Elephas maximus indicus: one gene and its partners. Each later gene encodes a partner of the first gene's protein in a complex. Links are inferred from orthologs where the notes say so. Each region holds a gene or a part of one and is shown in the gene's direction. Other genes may lie near its edges.

Region 1 (7,362 bases):
ACAGGAGAGCTAGACAAATGGAAAATCGAGTCATTCTCTTTTGAGACATAAAAGAGAATCAGACAAAGAGGAGAGGGACCTCATTTCATCAAGGAAAAAAAAAAAAGCCAGGAGAAGACCACGTTCTTTGGACCTGGGGTCCCTGGGCTGAGAAACTCCTAGATCCAAGGGAGGATTGATGGCAAAAGACCTTCCTTCAGAGCCAATTGAGAGAGAAAGTTAAGTTAAGGCTGGCAGTCCAAAGCCACCAGCTGTTCCTTTGGAAAACCTATGGTGCAGTTCTACTCTGTCCTATGGGGTCGCTGTGACTCTGAATTGACTCCACAGCAACAGGCTTGGTTTTGTTGGTTTTATACATTTAGCCCATTGCCATCCATTCGATACTGACTCATAGTGACCCTACAGGACAGAATAGAACTGCCCCATAGGGTTTCCAAGGAGTGGCTGGTAGATTCGAACTACAGGCGTTTTGCTAGCAGACAAGCTCTTAAGCACTGCACCAGCAGGTCTCCTTTATATGTATACATATATAAACATAAAAAAAAATACATATAGGAAAATACATATATATGCATTCATATATGTACACACACATATATACGTGTATATACACACCCCCCAAAAAACCCAAACCCACTGCTGTTGAGTTGATTCTGACTCATAGCAATCTTATAGGACAGAGTAGAACTGCCCCACGAGGTTTCCAAGGAGCACCTAGTGGATTCGAAACGCTGACGTTTTGGTTAGCAGCCATAGTGATTAAGACCTATGCCACCAGGGTTTTCTATACACACATATATGTGTATACATATGGATTCATTGTTAAATGTATATGTGTGCATACACACACACACACACGCACACACACACACACAAAATCTATGTTGTTGTTAGGTGCTGTTGAGTTGGTTCCAACTCATAGCAGCCCTATGTACAACAAAACAAAATACTGCCTGGTCCTGCACCATCCTCACAATTGTTGCTGTGCTTGAGCCCATCATTGCAGCCACTGTGTCAATCCATCTTCTTCAGGGTTTTTCACTTTTTCACTGACCTTGTACTTTACCAAGCATGATGTCCTTCTCCAGGGACCGGTTCTTCCCAGTAACATGTCCAAAGTACATGAGACGAAGTCTCACCATCACTTCTAAGGGAGCATCCTGGCTAAGCTTTTTCCAAGACAGATTTGTTCATTGTTCTGGCAGTCCTTGGTATATTTAGTATTCTTTGCCAACACCATAATTCAAAGGGATTAATTCTTTAGTCTTCCTTATTCATCATCCAACTTTCACATGCATATAAGGCAATTGAAAACACAATGGCTTGGGTGAGGTGCACCTTAGTCCTAAAAGTGATATCTTTGCTTTTTAACACTTTTAAAGAGGTCTTTTGCAGTAAAAAAAAAAAAAAAAAATTTATTACTATTATTATTTTTTGCAGTAGATTTGGCCATATGTCCTTTCATTTCTTGATGGCTATTTCCATGGATGTTGGCTGTGGATCCAAGTATAATGAAATCCTTGACGAATTCAGTCTTTTCCCATGTATCATGATGTTGCTTATTGCTCCAGTTGTGAGCATTTTTATTTTCTTCATGTTGAGGTGTAATCCATACTGAAAGCTGTAGTCTTTGATCTTCATCAGTCAGTGCTTCAAGTCCTCTTCACTTTCAGCAAGTAAGGTTGTGTCATCTGCATAATGCAGGTTTCTAGTCTTCCTCCAATCTAAAATATTCAGCTCACTGGTAATGAAAGAAACAGAAACTAAGAGAATTTGATAATATTTTTCACCCATCAAATTGCCAGAAATTCATAATTCTCATGGATGATGTGGGAGGGGAAGTGAGCCTATTCAGACCAGGCTAGTGGGGGTATAAATTTGTTCAATTCTTTTAAGGCTATTTGAAGATATGCATAATAATTATAAAAAGTGTATATCCTTAGACTAGTAATTGTATTTCTAGAGAAGAATATTGTAAAGAAATAAAGAAGAAATTATGTATGAATAAGGGTATTAATTATAAAACTCTTTGTGGTAATTAATAATTGGAAAAAATCCAAATGCCCTCAAATAAATTAATAATTATTTAAATCAATTATATCCAGTTTTATCATGCAATGTTATGCAATCATTAAAAATAATAATACAGATTTGAACTAATTAATATGTAAAGCTGGTCATGATAGGTTATATTTAGAAATGTTACAAGGCAGCATACATGGTGTGATCCATTTATGTATGGAAAAAAATAAACATGTGAATGTCTGCACTAAAAAATTAAAGATAACGTGCTAAAACATTGATGGTGATTATCATTCCTTAGAAGTTGCTGGGTGGCCCAGCCAGTTTGCAATCACCTACTGCCCTGAAGGTTGGGGGTTGGAACCCATGCAACAGGGTCATGGAAGAAAGTCTTGTGCATTTGCTTCCCTAGAGACTATAGCCAAGAATACGCCGTGAACAGTTCTACTCATGGGGTTGCCATGCTTCAGAATTGACTCCACGGCAATGTGTTTTTTTTTTTTTTCCTTTCTCCTTCTTAGTCGCTCCTTGGTAGGGTTATAAGGAGCCTTGTTGGTGCAGTGCTTAAGCATTAGGCTGCTAAGTGAAAGGTAGGCAATTAGAACCCACCAGCTGCTCTTAGGGTGAAAGATGTGGCAGTCAGCTTCCCTAAAGATTTCAGCTTCGGAAACCCCACGGGGCAATTATACTCTGTCCTTTAGGGTCCTTATGGGTTTGGTTTGGTAATATAATGGGTGATTTTTACTTTCTTCCTTAACCTTTTTTCCCCTTCAATCTCCATTTCCTACAAGTAACATAGGTTACTTAATAATCGAACACAAGTAAAGCTTTTTCCAGTTTTAGGAAAACAAATTTTGTTAACTAACTTAAAATATGTTTTTAAAAAGCAATTTCTTCTTGTAGATTTAGCTCCTGGAGGTTCAGATGACTGGATTTATGACTTGGGCACCAAATACTCGTTTACAATTGAACTTCGAGATAAAGGCGAATTTGGATTCTTGCTGCCTGAACGTCTCATCAAGCCAACTTGTAAAGAGGCTCTCGCGGCTGTCTCTAAAATAGTCTGGCATGTCATCAGGAATGTTTAATGCCCTTGATTTTATCACTCTGCTCCCATATTTTAATTTATTGATTCCAGCAAGACCAAATAATTGTCCCAGCTTCTTTTTAAGTTTTATCAACAGTTTTGTAACGAGATTTTCCCATTTCTTGGCTTTGTCAAAGAATAAAATAAATGCCACCTTGCAAATAAGACAAGAGTTCACATTTCTTTTCACTTTTTTTTTTTTTTTTTAAATTGTAAGGGGCTAGGTGTTGTTGTTGTTGTTAGGTGCCATTGAGTCGCTTCCAACTCACAGCTATCCTGTGCACAACAGAACGAAGCACTGCCCTGTCCTAAGCCATCCTTACAATCATTGTTATGCTTGAGCTCATTGTTGCAGCCACTGTGTCAATCAACCTTGTTGAGGGTCTTCCTCTTTTCCTCTGACCCTGTACTTTGCCAAGCATGATGGCCTTCTACAGGGACTGATCCCTCCTGACAACACGTCCAAAGTGTGTAAGACGCAGTCTCGCTATCTTTGCCTCTAAGGAGCATTCTGGCTGCACTTCTTCCAAGACAGATTTGGTATATTCAATATTCTTCGCCCACACCACAATTCAAAGGTACTGATTTTAATTTTTTTTTTTTTACTTTGATTCAGGATGTTTCACTAACCAAACAATTTTAATAAATTGTATCATACAAATCATTGGTTAAAGCTTTGAGACCCTAAGCAACAAAAGGAAAGACCGTCGGGAGTATATGAAAGATTTTTGTTTCACATTTTCAGTAAACTTGTTTGCGCCTTTAAAAACATAACCCTGCATTCCGTTTGCTCCACAATAATAGGCGATGGGCTACAAAGGAGACGGGTTCAAAAATAGGACATTCGCCAGGTCTGGTCCAGCTCAGAGTCTCAATAAGCATTCTTGAACAAATGAATGGCTGTAGTTACTTTCAATACACGTAGCATTTTGCACACCTAAAATAGTTGTTTATTGTAAGAAATTATGTAATGAACGGGGAAATTCTCTTAAGTTCACTTTTAATTGGGAATCAAAAAAGTCCCCCGCGAGTCCAAGTTTCCTTCCACAAAGAACATATTCAGGAGTTGATCTCTCGCTAATACTCTCGCTCCTCAGCGTCGACGCAACGTACGAGGAAAGGGGCGGGGTCTGCGCTCTGACGACTAACCTGGCGGCCGGAAGCTGGCTCGTTTACAGAGGAACAGGACGGTCTCCTGACTTCCGGCGGCTTTTTGAGTCGATCGCCCTAGCGGCCTGGTAGTTTTTTTTTGGAGTTTTTTTTACTGTCCATTTTCTCTTCCTTCTTTTTCTTCCCACGCCCCGTTCTCGCCGGACCCTGGCGAAGCGGCAGGCGGGTTCTGTTTCTCAGTCTCCCCGGGGCCCCGTGAGCCTCCGAGGAGCGGTTTCCGGGAGCCGCGCGCGCACCTCCTCCTTGTGGTCCTCCCGGGGCCAAGGCGCGGGGCGGAAGGTCTCCTTCCCCGCTCCTGCGAGCAGCGGCAGTGTGGGTGCCTCGGGTCTGCGTTTGCGAGGAGAGCTGGGGGTGGAGGTAAGGGTTCTGTGACTTCGTGTGGGTATTTGAGGAAAGGCGTTGGGCGAGCTGGGGAGGCCCGGAGTCGCCCACCATGCCCACTTGGGTCACACTGGTATTTCGTGCTCCCCTTGAGCATCCTGCCCCTGAATCTTCAGTCACTCCCTGTGCTCAGGCCTCGTTTGTCTCCCTCGCTCTGATTGTGGCGAGTCTGTCTAGGGGACAGGTCGACTCAGGCAAAAGACTGTGACTGACATTTGAGGTGGGCACGGGAACCCTTGAGCAGAATTCGCGTTTGTATGCAATGGAGGGGTGCCGGAATAAGGTCTTAGATTTCGGAGTTTTTTCTTTGGGCATTCCAGACCTGTAATCGGTAAAGGGATCTTTTGGTTATTTTTGGTGTTCTGTATTTACTGGCAGTGATAAACCGAGTTAGGGCCTGGGAGTTGAGGAGTGCTAGTCTTGGCAGTTATATGCGGGGGAAACAAATTGAAAGAGAGGTAGAATGAAAGGACGGGACCTTATGTTTAGCATTACCTCTTTCTAAATACAAACGCAAACAAACCTGTTACCTTTGAGTCGATTCCGACTCATAGGGACCCTGTATGACAGAGTAGAACTCCCCCATAGGGTTTCCAGGGAGGGGCTGGTGGATTGGAACTGCCGACCTTTCGCTTAGCAGCCGAACGCTTAACCACTGCGCCACCAGTGCCCCGCTCTTTTTAAATAGGTTAATATAATTTAAATGGCTGACAAATTCGGAGTTGCTATTACTTGAATGATGTTGGTAGGATTTTGCGTGTGGAAGGTAGTGTGTTAATCTATTCGGTTATATTAGAAGGTTTCCAGGTAATTTGAACTACTTTGAAAATTATGGGCTAGAGTCTCTTAAGGTTTTTGCATTTGTAAAGAGGGAATTTAGAAAGTTTGGAAGAGGTCTTCACGCCTCGCGTTTTCAGAGTTCGTGATACTGTTGCGGCAAATCCCGATGCTTATGCAGCGCCATCCCTGTGTGCATGGTGCCAGTTAGCATGGTCCAGTTTCTGGGTGTTTTTAGTTCTGTAATACTTGATGTCATGGGCTTTACTGTCCAAACAATAATGTTTTGGAGAGCTATTGATTTTGAAGTTATTAATGAAATACTTAGATTATAATAGATGACAGTTTCAGAGAGATAGTAAGAAGATTGATGGAGGTATATGTCAGTTTGTGTGTGTAAAAATAGTTGCATCATGAAACTAAAAATTTCACTGTGTCCGTCTGGTAGGATACAGTTTTATGAAGTCTATGCCTCTGACAGGGTCGCTGTGAGTCCGAATCGACTCCATGACAAGTGGTTTGGTTTTACTGAAGTCCTAGTTATTGGTAATTCTAATTGCACATTGTACATTTTAGGATGTGTGCACATCTTATTTTCATATCTGTAGTACAGATTAAAAATATTAAGAGACAGCAAGTGGATGCTATGTTAACTTTTTTATACCAAATTATTAAAATTTTAATGAATCATCTGTATTAGTTTATATTATAATATGCATTGGTGTTTACATAGGGAAAGCAAAATTGTTTAACTTCCATTTGGAGAATTGGTTTTCAGTGGACGTTAGTCTTTCCCGTATTCCCCACTCGCAACCCACAGCTCATACAGAGTTGGAGGCATTTTAGCAGGTACTTTGTAGTGGCTGAGGTATTAACTGGTGTTCATGTAACCCTGTCTTCTCTTCTCCTCTTGTAGCTCTGTGTGTTGCGGTTCTGTTTACGTCACTTCATAGTGGTTCCCAGGATGGGGTGTTCTTTGTGCACACACAATCTTTTTAACAAGTTATTTTCTGCACAGTGCTGCAGTATTGCCTTGCTCATACCTGTGTAGTCAGCTTAGTTGTGCCAGTTCTGTTGCACGATCAGTTAAGAATAGATTTACTCTGTCTACAGGTAAGCAACCTGGAAGGGTGTTTGAGAAAGTTCTTTTTAATAAATTCTTCAAAAGTATGCATCAAATAAACAGCTATTTTTTCTTTTAAAACATGAAGTATGAATGTGGGGAAAGTTTTATTTTTTAATATAACCCTTTAAATCTTAGAAATTCAATGGGTAGGGATTTATTCTACTAATTAATACATTTATATAGTTTTAGTTATGTAATTATTTGACAGTTTCCTGGTATTACGCTGCTGCTGTATAAGTAATAGAAGATCATCCAGATTAAAAAGAGTTATGCTTTCATTTACACTACAGAAGATGAGACCTCAGAAGGATCCAGTGAAGATACTAGAACTGATACATATTTTACTGACAAGATTTTAGCCATTAGGCTTCAGGTTTAATTAATTATTCAGAGAAGAGGACCCTGTATTTTTCAACTTTTTCAGCCATATTTATAGTGTGCAGCTTTGAATAGATTGTGATAATGTAATTTCCCATTTATTAAGACTCCCTTTTCCTGTGCCTTCAGGAGATTCAAGCTTTATTTCCAGTTATTCTTTTTCTTTTTAAATTTAAAAGTGATAAGGAAAATTTCAGATATTTATATATCTGCAAGGAAAAATAGAAAAATGACTAAATGGACTTTCACCAGTCTTATTCTGGCTCTTACAGTGCTGCTGTTTGGGAAAGAAATGATGATGTGATAGTGTAAGGGTAACTTAAACAAAAGAACAACGGGCAGAGCAATTTATTTGAAAACAAAAATGGAGAACAACATTAAAGAAGAGTTAACTAAATTAGTAAATTTTTGTTGTAACCTT
Region 2 (7,948 bases), on another chromosome or scaffold:
CATAAATGTCTAGGAAGAACGAGACTGGAAATGGGAGGTCAATTAGGATATGGATAGGGTTACAGATCATCCACAGGTGTGTGGTTGTAGAATGAAGGGGTGGGCAGTGAGAGCCAGGAGCAGAGCTACAGCTATACAGCAGATATGGAAACTGAAAGGTGGAATGCTTCTTTATTTTGGAAAATGGATGGATATTGATGCTAGTCTCTGAAACAGGAGGAAACGCTCGAATTGATTTTTTTTTAGAGAGGTTGGTGGTGGATTATGGATTATGAATATAAGTTTTATCCATGTTAAGTTTAAAATTCTGGAGAACATCCTAGGAAGCTGTGTAATAGGTAATCTGATATATAGGTTTGGGGTAGTTATTCTCAAGGAACGCTTGTGGGAAAACGAATTGTTATATGAAGCTCTTAATTACTTCCTTAAATTAGTACCTAGAAGTGAAACTGCCTCCTCAAAAAGTATGAATTATATGTGCTGTTTTTCCAACTTTCTTCTCACTCCTACCTTACTTCCCCTCCACCCCACACGCACACTCCCTAGTGGCCCTTATGTTACCATGATGAGCAGATGCTATTGATAGCCATGTACAGTACTCTTCAAGTGTGCTGATGTGGAAAAATAAAAAAGTTTAGAGCCATTAGTCTGGCATTTTAAAATTCAGAGGATGTGAAACAAATCTCAGAGTTACATCCTCATCCTCAGGAAAACGGTTAGAGTGCCTGTCCCATCACTGCTGGATTCTGGTGGCTTTGTAAATACTATGTAATAGTACACATTTACATCTTTATCAGCCCAGGGTCCAGTCAGGAAAACAGAAGTCATTTAAAGTATTTGAAACAGACAACATTTACTATGGAGAATTGGTTACACAGGTGTTGAAGGCTAGACAGTTCCTGGGTGGTACAAATGGTTAATGGACTCACTGCTAACTGAAAGGTTGGTGGTTCAAGTCCATCCAGAGGCTTTAGAAGAAAGGCATTGCAATCTACTTCTGAAAAAACAGCCATACTAATCCCTGTGGAGCACAGCTCTCCTCTAACACACATGAGGTTGTCCTGAGTCAGAATCATTCCACTGCAACTGGTTTGGTTTGTTTTTGAAGGCTAAAAAAACAAAAAGGGGAAGGTGAGATTAAACCATACATTTTTGACTGCAAGAAGTGGCTACTAGTGCTAAAACTGGTGAAACAGAGGGAAGGGGTGATATTATCAGAGCCCAAGAGCACACTCACTACTGGGGGTATAAAAAACCCCAAAACAAAACCAAAGGTTACCATTGAGTTGATTCAGGAAAGACAGGACAGCCAAGGAGGAGAAGTAGCAACTGGTTCTGCAACTCTGTAAGAAGTGACAGCCACTTCCAGGGATGCCAGAAGCAGGAAAAGAAGTGAAGAACAATAGCTTCTCCCCACCTTCCATCTTCTTATCTCCATCTGTGCTTCCTCTTGGCAGAATTTTATTGGAAGTCATCTGACAAAGAAGTCTGAAAAATGTAGTTTGTAGATTCCTAGCCCACCATCATCAGAAAGCAGAATTTGACTTACTTGGTCTTCAGTCTTTGACTCTAATACCTATCAAAGTACCTGCCATGTAAAATGTCAATAAACATCAAATAAGTATTTTAGTGAAAATTCCTATTCCCATCATTGATAAATAGCTGAAATCAGTACCCAACTTAAATGACTGGCATGCAAAGTAGTACAATGGAATTTTAAAGAAACATACTTTAAGTCATAGATACAAATTTAAAAAAAAATCCAAACCCACCACCGCTGAGGGGATTCCTACTCATTATGACCCTATAGGACAGAGCAGAACTGTTCCATACAGTTTCCAAGGTTGTAAATTTTTACCAAAGCAGACTGCCGCATCTTTCTCTTGCAGAGCAGTGAGTGCTTAACCACTGCACCACCAGGGCTCCTACACACATATTATCTTTTATAGAATAGTTCCCATTACTCAAGGAATTTTTAGAGCTCCGCTTTTGAAATTTCCTTTTAAAGCTAATTTTTTAAAAAACACATGAAATGCGTGATAAATTACTAGAATCTAATATTGCCCACTTTGGGCCTAGCCTGACTCACCTGGTTTTGATCTGGAAGATTTATCATTATTTGAAAAAACTAAATCCACTCTCAAAGAATAAACTTTGTTATTTATTTTGGCAAGTACTTGCCACAAGTTCCAATTAAACTTGAGGCAACAGGATGCCTAAACCACCTTGGCCACTTGAGTTTGGAACAAAATGACAAACGTGGTGAATAACAATGTTAAAGTTTTTAGTAAGACTTTGGTCTTTGCTGCCTTCCTAAGAGAGAAGAATCACCTCCCCTCCCCACCAGGGTATTTATTTCCATATCCCAGGGTTATTTTCTGCTAAGATAAATGCAAGGCAGAAAAAGGGGTCTTATCTAGGACACAAACCAAGGCACACTGTACAATCGCCAACCCCTCTTTTCTAAAGGGAAGAATCCATAAAGTGCATTATGGTAACAACAGGCAATATCTCAAGAGCTAGTGAAACTTGCCCTCGAACGTCGAGCAGCTAAAGCAAAAGGAAGAATTGATGAAGTAAAAGAATGAACAGAAGATTTCAAAGGGCGGCTCGAGAAGACAAAGTGTTATACTGACATGTGCAAAGAGCTGGAGATGGAAAACCAAAAGGGAAGAACACGCTCGGCGTTTCTCAAGTTGAAAGAACTGAAATAAAAATTCAAGCCTCGAGTTGCAATAGTGAAGGATTCTGTGGGGAAAATATTAAACAACGCAGGGAGCATCAACAGAAGATGGAAGGAATACACAGAGTCATTATACCAAAAAGAATTAGTCGATGTTCAACCATTTCAAGAGGTGGTATATGATCAGGAACCGAAGGTACTGAAGGAAGAAGTCCAAGCTGCTCTGAAGGCATTGGCAAAAAACAAGGCTCCAGGAATTGAAGGAATATCAATTGAGATGTTTCAACAAATAGATGCAGTGCTGGAGGTGCTCACTCGTCTATGCCAAGAAATATGGAAGACAGCTTCCTGGCCAACTGACTGGAAGAGATCCAAATTTATGCCTATTCCCAAGAAAGGTGATCCAACCGAATGTGGAAATTATAGAACAATATCATTAATATCCCATGCAAGCAAAATTTTGATAAAGATCATTCAAAAATGGCTACAGCAGTATATCGACAGGAAACTGCCAGAAATTCAGGCCGGTTTCAGAACAGGATGTGGAACCAGGGATATCATTGCTGATGTCAGATGGATCCTGGCTGAAAGCAGAGAATACCAGAAGATGTTTACCTGTGTTTTCTTGACTATGCAAAGGCATTAGACTGTGTGGATCATAACAAACTATGGATAACATTGCAAAGAATGGGAATTCCAGAACACTTAATTGTGCTCATGAGGAACCTTTACATAGATCAAGAGGCTGTTGTTTGTACAGAAGAAGGGGATACTGATTGGTTTACAGTCAGGAAAGGTGTGCATCAGGGTTGTATTCTTTCACCATACCTATTCAATCTGTATGCTGAGCAAATAATCCGAGAAGTCGGACTATATGAAGAACAGGGCATCAGGATAGGAGAAAGACTCATTAACAACCTGCGTTATGCAGCGGACACAACCTTGCTTGCTGAAAGTGAAGAGGACTTGAAGCACTTACTAATGAAGATCAAAGACCACAGCCTTCAGTTTGGATTGCACGTCAACATGAAGAAAACAAAAACCCTCACAACTGGAACAATGAACAACATCATAATAAACAGAGAAAAGACTGAAGTTGTCAAGGATTTCATTTTACTTGGATCCACAATCAACAGGCATGGAAGCAGCAGTCAAGGAATCAAAAGACGCATTGCATTGGGCAAATCTGCTGCAAAGGACCTCTTTAAACTGTTGAAAAGCAAAGATGTCACCTTGAAGACTAAGGTGCACCTGACCCAAGCCATGGTATTTTCAATCGCATCATATGCATGTGAAAGCTGTACAATGAATAAAGAAGACCGAAGAAGAATTCACACCTTCGAATTGTGGTGTTGGCGAAGAATATTGAATATACCGTGGACTCCCAAAAGAATGAACAAATCTGTCTTGGAAGAAGTGTGGCCAGAATGCTCCTCAGAGGCAAGGAGGGCGAGACTGCCTCTTACATACTTCGGACATGTTGTCAGGAGGGATCAGTCCCTGGAGAAGCACATCATGCTTCGCAGAGTACAGGGTCAGCGGAAAAGGGGAAGACCCTCAACGAGGTGGATTGACACAGTGGCTGCAACAATGAGCTCGAGCATAACAACAATTGTCAGGATGGCACAGGACTGGGCAGTGTTTCGTTCCGTTGCGCATAAGGTCGCTATGAGTCGGAACCGACTCGACGGCACCTAACAACAGTGAGGTGTGCAGAGCACTGACAGAAGGGAAAAGTAAAAAACAACAACCTTAATAATAATAAACACTTCTATAGCGCTCTGCGCCTCCTTACTATTTATACAAACTGTTCATTATTTCAGTCTTCACAACGACTCCATGAGGCTGGCACTCTTATTTACTCCCATTTTACAAACGAAAAAAACAGATTTACGGAGGTGACTAACCAGCCAAGGTCACCCAGCTAGTAATAGGAAAAGGTTCAAGGCAATATGGCCGGAGTCTGCTCTCTCAGTAAAAAAGCAGATACTACATGTAACAAGTTTTAAAAGTAACTGGGGAACTAACGGAAAAGAGAAGCAACAAAAGAGCTCACATCGGAAGAGGCGTGGATATATCAAGAGAGACACCAGAGACGGGACCTGACATCGCTGCTCACAGCGCCTATCAGGCTTCCGAGACCCCTCCCCCAGTGCCCCGTCCCTCATTGGGCCCCTTCCAAGTAGCGTCAAATTGTAGGCGGGACTTCCGGGTACAACGGAGCCAATTCCGGCCGAGCCGGAAAGCCCTTTGAAGAAAAGGCTAGGGGTTACCCGCCCGCCTGAAGTCCCTGGCGAATTTTGTGTTCCATAGACTTGGAAGAAAGATTGGGCGGGGGTTAATCTACGCATTGGCAAGTTTTCAGGGTAGTGGAAAACAGGAGTTGGGATATGGACAGCCGCTTGCAGGAGATCCGGGAGCGGCAGAAGCTACGGCGACAGCTCCTCGCGCAGCAGGTCCGCGCCCGGGGTGGCCAATGCGGGGAGGGTTCGCGAATGCGCGTGCGCGGCCGCCCTCTCCCCCTCCCCTGCCCTTCGTCCTGTCAGCGCTCACCTTGTCCGATCATTCCTGATCCGGAGACCCTGACCCTTGGATCTCCCCTTGTTCTCTCAACCCCTGCTGTGCCCCGAATTTTTTTCCCATTCCAGCCGCTGTGTGTGTAGTAATGTTAAACTAGACGCCACGATTGATCTTCAGCAACATCTATCGAATGCCTTCCAAGCTTCTGGCACTGTGCTTGATAGTGGGGATATAAAGCTTTGGTTTTTGTAAATAAGTTATCACAGTTGATGCAATGAAAAGTGACTTATTCCTTAAATATCGCTTTGCTAATTTTTTTTAAGTGCTCTTCTTTGTCTTGTTTTTTTCTCGGAATCAACACCTAAATCCTGAGATTGTGGCTTCATTGTGAAATGGGTGTATTTTGGGACGGGGGTATCTACTTTAAAGACTACATTGAAAGGAGCCTAAGTGTAAACATTAGATTCTACATTTTGTGTATTGCAGGCCACTGAGCAACGTATACTAGCGTCATCATCACCCATAAAAAAATAGTATTTAAATTTTTACTCTCTGTCAGTCAAAACAGCCCAATGAAATAGGTAGTATTATTCTCTTCACTTATCAGAGAACAGAACAGAGGCTCCAGAGGTCAAGTAATTTTGCCCCGACTCACTCATAGCTGGGCCAAGAATTTGAAACCAGGTTTGTCTCTCCAAAGCTTACCTTCTAAACCACTCTCCTTCACTGCTTCTTGTGTGTGAGTACATTAGTACATAAGACCATACTAATCTTGCTGATGAGTAGAGTATACCAAAAACCAAACCTTTTGCTATCGAGTCGATTACGACTCATAATGACCCTGCAGAAAATACAGATGGTGCTACCTTTATGTAAAATCAGAGGGTTTGTTTTCCATTCTGCTGTTCAGATTAGTAAAAGTGATGGGTAAAATGAGGTGTCTTGCTGTTATTTTTCAATAGTAAATTTTGGTTTTAGCTACAAGAAGTCTGAAACCTGTCTTTTAAAAGCTGATGAAAAGACATATGATATGGTATTTAACATGTTATTTGGAATCAGATCTAGTCCTGTCCTGTACCATCCTGAACAAATGAGGCATCCTTTCTAAGCCTTCTTTTTCCCTACTTTTTTAATCATAATTGTCTGCAAAATGTTCAGTAGATCTTTGTTGCCACCAGTAGTTTTTACTCCTCAGTTTTGAATTCAAATCTCTAGAAGATTTGGCTCAAAATACATTCATAGAACAATTTGTTAGTGCTTTAACTATGTTCCAGGAGCTCTAGTAGGCCTTCGCAATTCAACTATGAATAATAGTCCCTACCCACAAAGAACTTACATAGTACTACAGTTTTATAATGGCAGCTGTATTAAATCCCCTCCAGCTATGTGTCAGACTCTCTGCTAAGCTGTGTACTTATATGTCTTCAATCCTACAAGTCAGATGTTATCTGAATTTTATAGATGAAGAAAATAGAGCCCCCCCCCCCCAAAAAAAATTGTTACTTGCCCAAGGCCCCAAAGCTGGTAAATGTGAGAGCTGGGATTTTAATTTAGGCCTTGCCAGGCTCTTTCCAGTACACCTAGCTGCCTCCACTATAATCAGTGACAAACTTCCACTTTACCAACAAATTGCAGAGCGTCTTTTGCCTAGTTTTCTCTGTATGAACAAGATAGATTGCTTTTATTATTCTCCAGAACTTGATTTGTGCACTATATGCTTTTTTATGCTTTAGTATTATTATTTTTAAAGTCTTTTTCTTACCTGCCTTCTGAATTCTATCCATCCTCCATGGCCCAGTTAGGTTAGAATTTGGTGTTGGAACCTATTCTGATCTCCCTGGCTTAGGCTCTTCTTCCTTTGAGCTTTCATTGTACCTCACTGTCGAGTCCACTACTACATATTGTGTGAATTGTCCTGTTTTTGTTGTTAGTTGTCATTGAGTTGATTCCGACTCATGGTGACTTCATGTATGCAGAGTAGAACTCCATAGGGTTTTCAAGGTTGTGACCTTTTGGAAGCAGATCGCCAAGCCTGTCTTATGAGGTGCCTCTAGGTGGGTTCTAAACACCAACCTTTTGGTTAGTAGTCGAGCACTTAACCGTTTGCACTTGTGGATTGTCACATAGACTATAATAGTTTGAGTACAAAGTCTGTATGTAACTCCTGTTGAGTAACCTCTTCCCACCCAGGATTGTTTCTTTCACAAAGCAAGATTTTAATAAACATTTGTTGAGTGATGAAATATCAGACTAGAGCACAACATGTGTATGATTTGCTTGATTCACTTTTGTCTGCTTAGTGAAGCCTTTAGAGGCAAAAAGTAGGCCTGGACCATGATAATAACAACTGATGCTACCACCACCAATTTGTGCCTTTTGTTTATTTAACTTCAAACAGCATACGTGGTCCTGAGAAGTAACTCTGTTTCCAAAAATTAAATATGCCTTAGGAAGTTATCAAATTGTTAGAATTCCTCAGATAAATCTATTCAGTGCCACCAACATAATGGAAAATCTGTTATTGACTTGGTTAAGTGATACAGCTGCTAACCAAAAGGTTGGCAGTTCACATCCACCAGGCGCTCCTTGGAAACCCTATGGGGCAGTTCTGCTCTGTCCTGTAGGGTTGCTATGGGTCGAATTCAACTCAACGGCAGTGGGATTTTTTTTATTAACTTGATGTGGGCACTCTACAATTTTTTTTTTTAAATGTTTCATGAAAAGACAATTACATATGTAGGCAGA
Region 3 (7,860 bases), on another chromosome or scaffold:
AATGGATGTCAGAAGAGACTCTCAAACTTGCTGTTGAATGCTGAGTAGCTAAACCAAACGGAAGAAATGATGACGCTGAAGAGGTGAACAGAAGATTTCAAAGGGCAGCTCGAGAAGACAAAGCAAAGTATTATAATGACACGTGCAAAGACCTGGAGTTAGAAAACCAAAAAGGAAGAACACACTTGGCATTTCTCAAGCTAAAAGAAGAAAAAATTCAAGCCTCGAGTTGCAATACTGAAGGATTCTATGGGGATAATAGTAAACGATGCAAGAAGCACCAAAAGAAGATGGAAGGAATAATACACGGTCACTATACCAAAAAGAATTAATTGACATTCAGTCATTTCAGGAGGTAGCATATGATCAGGAAACAACGGTACTGAATGAAGAGGTCCAAGATGGTCTGAAGGCACTGGTGAAAAACAAGGGTCCAGGAATTGATGGAATACGAACTGAGATATTTCAAGAAATGGATGCAGTGCTGGAAGTGCACATTTGTCTATGCCAAAAAATTTGGAAAACAGCTATCTGGCCAACTGACTGGAAGAATCTGCATTTATGCCGATTCCAAAGAAAGGTGATCCAATAGAATGAAGAAATTATCGAACAATATCATTAATATCACACACAAGTAAAATTTTGCTGAAGATCATTCAAAGGTGGCTGCAGCAGTATTATCAACAGGGAACTGCCAAAAATTCAAGCCAGATTCAGAAGAGGACATAGAACCAGTGATATCATTGCTGATATCAGATGGATCCTGGCTGAAAGCAGAGAATACCGGAAAGATGTTTACCTGTTTTATTGACTGTGTAAAGGCGTTTGACTGTGTGGATCATAACAAATTATGTATAACATTGTGAAGAATGGGGATTCCAGAGCAGATAATTGTGCTCATGAGGAACCTGTACATAGACCAAGAGGCAGTCGTTCAAACAGAACAAGGGGATATTGTGTGGTTTAAAGCTAGGAAAGGTGTGCATCAGGACTATATCCTTTCACCATGCTTATTCAATCTGTATGCTGAGCAAATAATCTGAGAAGCTTGACTATATGAAGAAGAAAAGGGCATCAGGATTGGAGGAAGACTCATTAACAATCTGCGACATGCAGATGACACAACCTTGCTTGCTGAAAGTGAAGAGGGCTTGAAGCACTTACTGGTCTAGATCAAAGACTACAACCTTCAGTATGGATTACACCTCAATATAAAGAAAAGAAAATTCTTCACAACTGGGCCAATAAGCAACATCATGATAAATGGAGAAAATACTGGAGCCGTTAAGGATTTCGTTTTCCTTGGATCCACAATCAACGTCCATGGAAGCAGCATTGAAGAAATCAAACGACGCATCGCATTGGGCAAATCTACTTCAAAAGATCTCCTTAAAGTGTTAAAAAGCAAAGATGTCACGTTGAAGACTAAGGTGCGCCTGACGCAAGCCACGATGTTTTCAATCATATGCATGTGAAAACTCACAAGGAGTAAGGGAAGACTGAAGAAGAATTGATGCCTTTGAATTATGGTATAGGTGAAGAATATTGCACATACCATGGACTGCCAAAAGAATAAATCTGTCTTGGAAGAAATACAGCCAGAATGCTCCTTAGAAGCAAGGATGTTGAGACTACTTCTCACATACTTTGGACATGTTATCAGGAGGGCTCAGTTCCTGGAGAAGGATATCATGCTTGGTAAAGTAGAGGGTCAGTGAAAAACAGCAAGCCCCCGTCAAGATGGGCTGACACAATGGATGCAACAGTGGGCTCAAGCATAATGACAATGTGAGAATACTGCAGGACTGGACGGCGTTTCGTTTTGTTGTACATAGGGTCACTATGAGTCGGAACCAACTTGGCAGCACCTGACAACAACAAGAAGCACTCTTAATAAAGTAGTATTATACAGTTGAAAGAACATTAAGATGATGGTTATTATCCTGACCTTGTATTAAGCGGAGTCCCTGGGTGGTGCAAATGGTTAATGCACTTGGCTACTAATTTAAAGGTTGGAGGTTCAAGTCCATGTATAGTCACCTGAAGAAAGGCCTGGTGTCGTACTTCTGAAAAGTCAGCCACTGAAAACCTATGGGTTTCTATTCTGACACACGAGGGCACCGTGAGTTGGAACTGTCTTGGTGACAACTCGTTAGTATTGTAGGAGTCCTGGTAGCACAGTGGTTAAGCGCTTGTCTACTAACTGAAAGTTTGGTCATTCAAACCTGCTGCTCTGCAGAAGAAAGATTTGGCAGCCCGCTTCTGTGAAGATTTATTATAAAATCTTCCCCTGTGGGGAAGTTCTACTCTGACCTATAGGGTCACTCTGAGTTGGAATCGACTCGATGGCAATGGGTTTGATTTGGTTTGTTTTTTGGTTAGTACTAAGGAGCCTGAAACAGGCTTTTGGAAAAACAACTCTCTGAGCTTAATGCCAACTGTCAAATCTTATCTTGCTCTATGTAAATGAAAGCTATTAAAACATCTTCGAGTATGCTGGCTTTGAAGAATACTAGCTTGTAATTCACAGGCTAACAGATCGCCTGTCAGTACAATGACAATATGCACTTCAGTGCTTCAGATTGCCTATTACTACAGCTTTTCATTTTTATAAACCTTGGATCAGTACCATGCTATTTAAGTAAATATAATATCAAGTTTCAATAAAGAAATTGTCACTGTTGGCAGCATCTGGTCACCAAAAAGCAATACTAGAAGGCAGTAATAAAATATAAATCTTTGTACAGTTTCATTTAGTTTAGGCAAAGAGATTAAACTAATTTGTCACACTGCTACTGTACTGGTAAAGCAATGCAACTACAGTTAAGGAAGAAAATGGGTATAGAGCAGAGATACTGAGGCAATACTTGAAAGTAACAAATCCAAGTCAAATAATAAAATAAAGGTTTATCTGACATTTTATCAACAGGAAATCTAAAATAAGTGAGTCTTCCCTCAGTAAATTAATTTGCATAACTTGATGCACCATAAAATCCCACCAAAACTTCTGATTTACAAACTAAAATTTCTAAAATGCAGGCTGAAAGTATCATATGTTATTCTAAATCTTTAAATTTTAGTATCAAAACCCAGTGCTGTTGAGCTGATTTCAACTCCTAGTGTCCCCATAGGACAGAGTAGAACTGCCCCATAGGGTTTCCAAGGAGCAGCTGGTGGATTCGAACTGCTGACCTTTTGGTTAGCAGCCAAGCTCTTACCCACTGTGCTACCAGGGCTCCAAATATTAGTATCAGCAGAGATTAATAATAATCAGGATATCTGACTAACCAAAACATTCTATGCCCAACAATGGCTTCCTGAACCTGGATTTGCATTAATCTGAAATTTAGCTAATAAGCTGAATATGAGGATACAAAAAAAAAAAAAAAAAAAAAGCACTTCCTGGATGAAAACTGCTCTTCCTTCACACCCCAAATTGGTGACAAGTGCTCAGCCACATCAGCAGTTTTTAGAGAAATAGGGGTACAAAGTACAGGAGAAAGGTTAAGCTTCTCTCCCTCACCCAAACAAAAACAGTTCCAGCAACTGCAAGCATCTTTAAAGCCACTTAGTAATACAGAACTTTCATTTTAACAAAAGCAAGGGTAATTTTGATTCCCAAATGTTCATAGTTGTGAATGCACCTAAAAACTTGTTTATAAATCTGCACAGTGGATATGTGTTCAAAAAGATGTTAATAAATAGTACTGATCATCATAGAATTATTCAAAGTTATTGCTGCATAACTATACGGATACATTACTACACATACTTTATTCGGATTTCAATACCGAGAAGAAAATTCTGTAATAGGTCAGTACAATAATCTGTTCTTGATCTAGGAACTCTGGCACTGAAAGCGTGAATGACACAAGGTAATGATGTCGTCACCAAGGGACGACAAGAATAGAACCCAAATCCCCTGACTCCCAAGCTTGTGTTTTCCACTAATTGTGCTCCCTTCTACTCATCGGAGAGCATCAAATGTAAAGCTTTGGAGAAGGGAGTGGACACAAATGAGCAAAGTCCACCAGGTGGAGACTGCGCTGAAGGTCCTACGGCATCACCTTTTGGCACTTTCCTTTTCTCTTGGCTGTGGAGATGAAAGCAGCAGCAACCACAAACCCCTGGGACCAAGAACTGGAACTAGGTACTGCCTACTGTGGTAACTCTCTTCCTCATTTTAGGCCTTTCTTTTTTCACCTTTCCCTTCCGACCAGGCCCTAACGATCTCTTCACCTCACTCCATTTCTATGTACCCTTCCTGCGGCCCCCTTCTTTGCACATTAGTGCTAGGTGTCCCATGTAATAAGATGTAGCTGCGCGGCGTCCGCCAGTCCTGCGGAGAGGTTGTAGGGGAACCTAGAGCCACACGCATTTTCTCCAGAAAATGAGTGGTAGCAAAGCATGATGTAAGTATGTTTCAACTGGTAGAAACTTAAGAGGTGGGAACGTAGGCATACACCAAGTCTGTTCTACTTGGGGCTATGTAGCTCACCACGACAAAGCAAAATTTCGACAATAAGAAGCAGAGTCTTTTCGTCTAGCTAGAGGATTCTAACAGGTCAACCATCCCCTGGCAACCTCCCACGGGAGGACGCTTTCCGGAGCGCCGATGTTTACGCTTTTCCTAGAACCGGTGGAGACTGACGTTCCCAGACCCTCGGGGCTTCTAAACCGTTACTCCGCCGCCGGGGTGGGGCCAGCCCAACGGCCAAGCCTGCGCAATAGGCCTGGCTGACTCCGGGGTCCTGCGCACTACAAGTCCCAGAAGGCAACGCTCCGAGGGGGCGGGAGGCCGCCTTACCTGCCGTGAATTCTTTCGGCTAGTACCGCTCTCCCCCTCCCGTGTTGCCATGGGTCTCCTTTCCACAGTTAAAGGCTACTTTCTCTTGAGGCCTATGAGGAACTGCCTTAGCAACTTCGACACTGAAGCTCTTCGCGTACTCGCTCGTTCTCCCTTCTGCCCAAACTATGCTGGGGAGGCGACAAAAGATAGCCCTTGGAAGCCAAAGCTAGGAGACTGGTTGCACTTCCGCCTTCCGGACTCCGGGGATAGCGCGCACGCGCCCCATGCGACTCCGGTGCAGTTGACTTCCGCTCCCACTGTGCCCTGCGAGCCGAATCATGGATCACACTGGTAAGGAGGCGGAGGCAGTGGGGGTCCCGGTTCCATGCCCCCTTGGCCGGTCTGGGATCAGTCGCCTAGCGGGCATAGAGGGCTTACGTTCGCCCCAAAGCACTGGGGTGTGGTGGTGAGAAAGAAATATCACAGATCTCTCTCCGTGCCCGGCCGGGGCCTGCTGCTTCCCGGCCTACTCTCCGGTGCAGTAGCTACAGCCTCAGTACCGGCAAAAGCCGCTTTTCCTCTGGCACTGCTGGGCTCCGACTCGGGACGGCGGGCTGCGCGGGCCTCGGGGGGAGGGGAGAGCGCTGGTTTTTTTTTTTCCCCTCATCCCGGGTGCTCTGAGCTGCGTTTGCGGACTGGCGGATAGATTCCAATTTTTAAGTGGAGGAAGCCTCTCTGCGCTCTCCGCTTCGGCTGGGAGTGGTTGGGCGAGAGTAGGTTGGAGACTTCCTGCCGTCTCAGTCGGCTTTGGGCGGGTGCTCCTGTCGTTATTGTCTCTCTCGTCCTTCGTGGGCTAGAGTTGGAGAAAGGAGTCGGATATAGTTTTCGTAATCATACTCGGAGCAGCTTCTACCTCTAAACCTAAAGCATGCCCCACGCTTTGGCTGTGGTCCTTATTCGTCATTTCGGACCATTTCCTAAGGAAAGCTTAAAATCAAGGAGTTCTCATCTCTTTCTCCAAGTAAGACTGGCTCCATTACTTTTTTATGTGTGGGGTTTTTTTTTTTTTTTTGGCTTTTGTTTCCATTGGTTCGTGAATGTTAAAATAAAGCGCACTCGAAGTTAGGAAGCGCTCCATGCAGTTATGTTAATCGTGTCACAGGTAGGGAAAAATACATTTTCCGGTCTAGGTATTAATTGGGATGTGTGTTCTCAATCATGAAATATTTGTGTGTGTTGTGTGTGTGTGTTTATTTCTAAGCCTCGGGTTGGAATGTTAAAACAAGGCTGAGTTCCTGCCATCACCTTGATTACATTCTATTGGGGGAAATAGTAAACAGACTTTCTAAAAAAAACTTAAAATATTTACAGATTATGAAGGTATTTTGAAGAAAGTAAACAGGTACTGTGTTAGAGATAAATGGGAGGAAACTTTAGAGAGGACGGTCAGGGAAGGTCTTTGTTGGAAAGGTAATATTTAAGTTGAGATTTGATAGATGAGAAGAATCCAACCATGAAGTAAGCAGAATGAAGAGTATTTCCATCAAGTAAGTACAAAGGCTCTGAGATTAGGAAAACTTAGAGAAGGCCAATTGGCTGAAGCCTACTTAACAAGAGGTAAATTTAAAGAGCCTTAAGATGAAGTTGGAGAGGAAGTCAGATGGTGTAGGACCTTAAAGGCAATGATAAAGATTTGAATTTTAAGTGCACTGTGAAGCTATTGGAAACCCTAGTGGTGTAGTGGTTAAGAGCTAAGGCTGCTAACCAAAAGGTCGGCAGTTCAAATCCATCAGGAGCTCATTCGAAACTCCATGGGGCAGTTCTTTTCTTTCCGTAGGGTCGCTATGAGTTGGAATTGACTCGACAGCAATGGGTTTCTGAAGCTATTGAACAGGTAGAGGAGGAATCTGATCTTGTTAAAAAATGTAATAGGCTGTTCTAGGAAGAAAGAGTTAACAGTGGGAGGCAAGGGTAGTAAAAAAACGATTTAGGAGATTACAGTAGACCAAAAGAGATGATGGCTTGGCTTAGCGAGGATGAATGGAAGTAGGTCTAGTCGATAAGTATTTTGGTGATGGAACTCAATGACATGCTCATAGATTGGTTTGGAGGTATATGAGAAAAAGGAGAAATGCCTAGGTTTCTGGTTTGAGCAGCTGGGTAGATGGTAGTGTCCATTATTGAGTTGGGGAAAACATGAGAGAAAAGTAGACGTTTTTTAGGGATAGAGGTGGGGAATGGAAATTTAGGAACAAGAGTTTGGTTTCATACTGCTAAAATTTGAGATGTGTATTGAAACATACAAGGGGAGATGTCACATAGGCAATCGGAGACCAGCGGAAAGATACGGGCTGAAAATACATATTTGAGACTCAATACCTTATATTTTAAGGCATGGGGATGGATGTGATCACTAAAGGAGAGCTAATATAGAAGAGAGAGGGTTCCACAACCAGGCTCTAAGGAACTCCAGTCTTTGAACAGTTCACTGAGTTGAAATTCAAGGATCTGGGTGTTAGAGTAGCAAGCATTGAATATCAGCAAAATATTACTCATTTGAACCTTTGGAATTGGGAATCCAGTCCCTTCCACAATTCAGAGGATGCTATATTAGAAAATTGTAATATGAATGGGTGTGTATCTGAGCATAGTAAGTCATCTAGCATGGAAATCTTCCCTAATGAGCTGATTACTTAAACAATTAGTTGCTACTCAGGTATTTCTTCTGCTTAATACTAGCATCTATTCTTTTAGATAATTTCTTTGTGAGTCAGTTTTCTTGATGTTTCATATTAGGAGACAACATCAAATGCTGTTCTTTAATTGTTGGGAAAAATTACAAACCTTGCAAAACATACAGGCTTTTATGAAATGCATAAACTTGAATTTCGATAACTATTTGAATCACAAATAGAGCCATTGACTAGTGAGGAAATGCCAGTTAGCCAGTTAAGTGAAGACATCATGACTGGGTAGACATTTCAGGAGAATGATTTTAATATCAAAGGATTAAGAGAGGCCCTTGGGAAAATTGATGAAACCCTCGACTGTTATGCAGAAATGGCCCACCT

Evidence for each region. Proteins that work in one complex are often made in the same cells at the same time.
Region 2: ZC3H13 (region 1) and METTL14 share a complex: the UniProt entries of both Homo sapiens proteins name them as parts of the WMM complex. The link is inferred for Elephas maximus indicus from reciprocal best matches to the Homo sapiens genes ZC3H13 and METTL14.
Region 3: ZC3H13 (region 1) and CBLL1 share a complex: the UniProt entries of both Homo sapiens proteins name them as parts of the WMM complex. The link is inferred for Elephas maximus indicus from reciprocal best matches to the Homo sapiens genes ZC3H13 and CBLL1.

What each region holds. Positions count from the first base shown.
Region 1 is NC_064832.1:33,686,109-33,693,470, forward strand, and holds the start of ZC3H13 (zinc finger CCCH domain-containing protein 13), read left to right. Parts: upstream 1-4,271; 5' UTR 4,272-4,347; exon of another isoform or gene 4,348-4,636; intron 4,637-7,362. Other genes in the region: carboxypeptidase B2-like, read left to right, coding at 2,926-3,110. UniProt on the Homo sapiens protein: Associated component of the WMM complex, a complex that mediates N6-methyladenosine (m6A) methylation of RNAs, a modification that plays a role in the efficiency of mRNA splicing and RNA processing.
Region 2 is NC_064823.1:30,926,342-30,934,289, reverse strand, and holds the start of METTL14 (N6-adenosine-methyltransferase non-catalytic subunit), read left to right. Parts: upstream 1-4,905; 5' UTR 4,906-5,073; coding exon 5,074-5,139; intron 5,140-7,948. UniProt on the Homo sapiens protein: The METTL3-METTL14 heterodimer forms a N6-methyltransferase complex that methylates adenosine residues at the N(6) position of some mRNAs and regulates the circadian clock, differentiation of embryonic stem cells and cortical neurogenesis.
Region 3 is NC_064826.1:41,895,196-41,903,055, reverse strand, and holds the start of CBLL1 (E3 ubiquitin-protein ligase Hakai), read left to right. Parts: upstream 1-4,817; 5' UTR 4,818-5,127; coding exon 5,128-5,140; intron 5,141-5,150; exon of another isoform or gene 5,151-5,810; intron 5,811-7,860. UniProt on the Homo sapiens protein: E3 ubiquitin-protein ligase that mediates ubiquitination of several tyrosine-phosphorylated Src substrates, including CDH1, CTTN and DOK1. Targets CDH1 for endocytosis and degradation.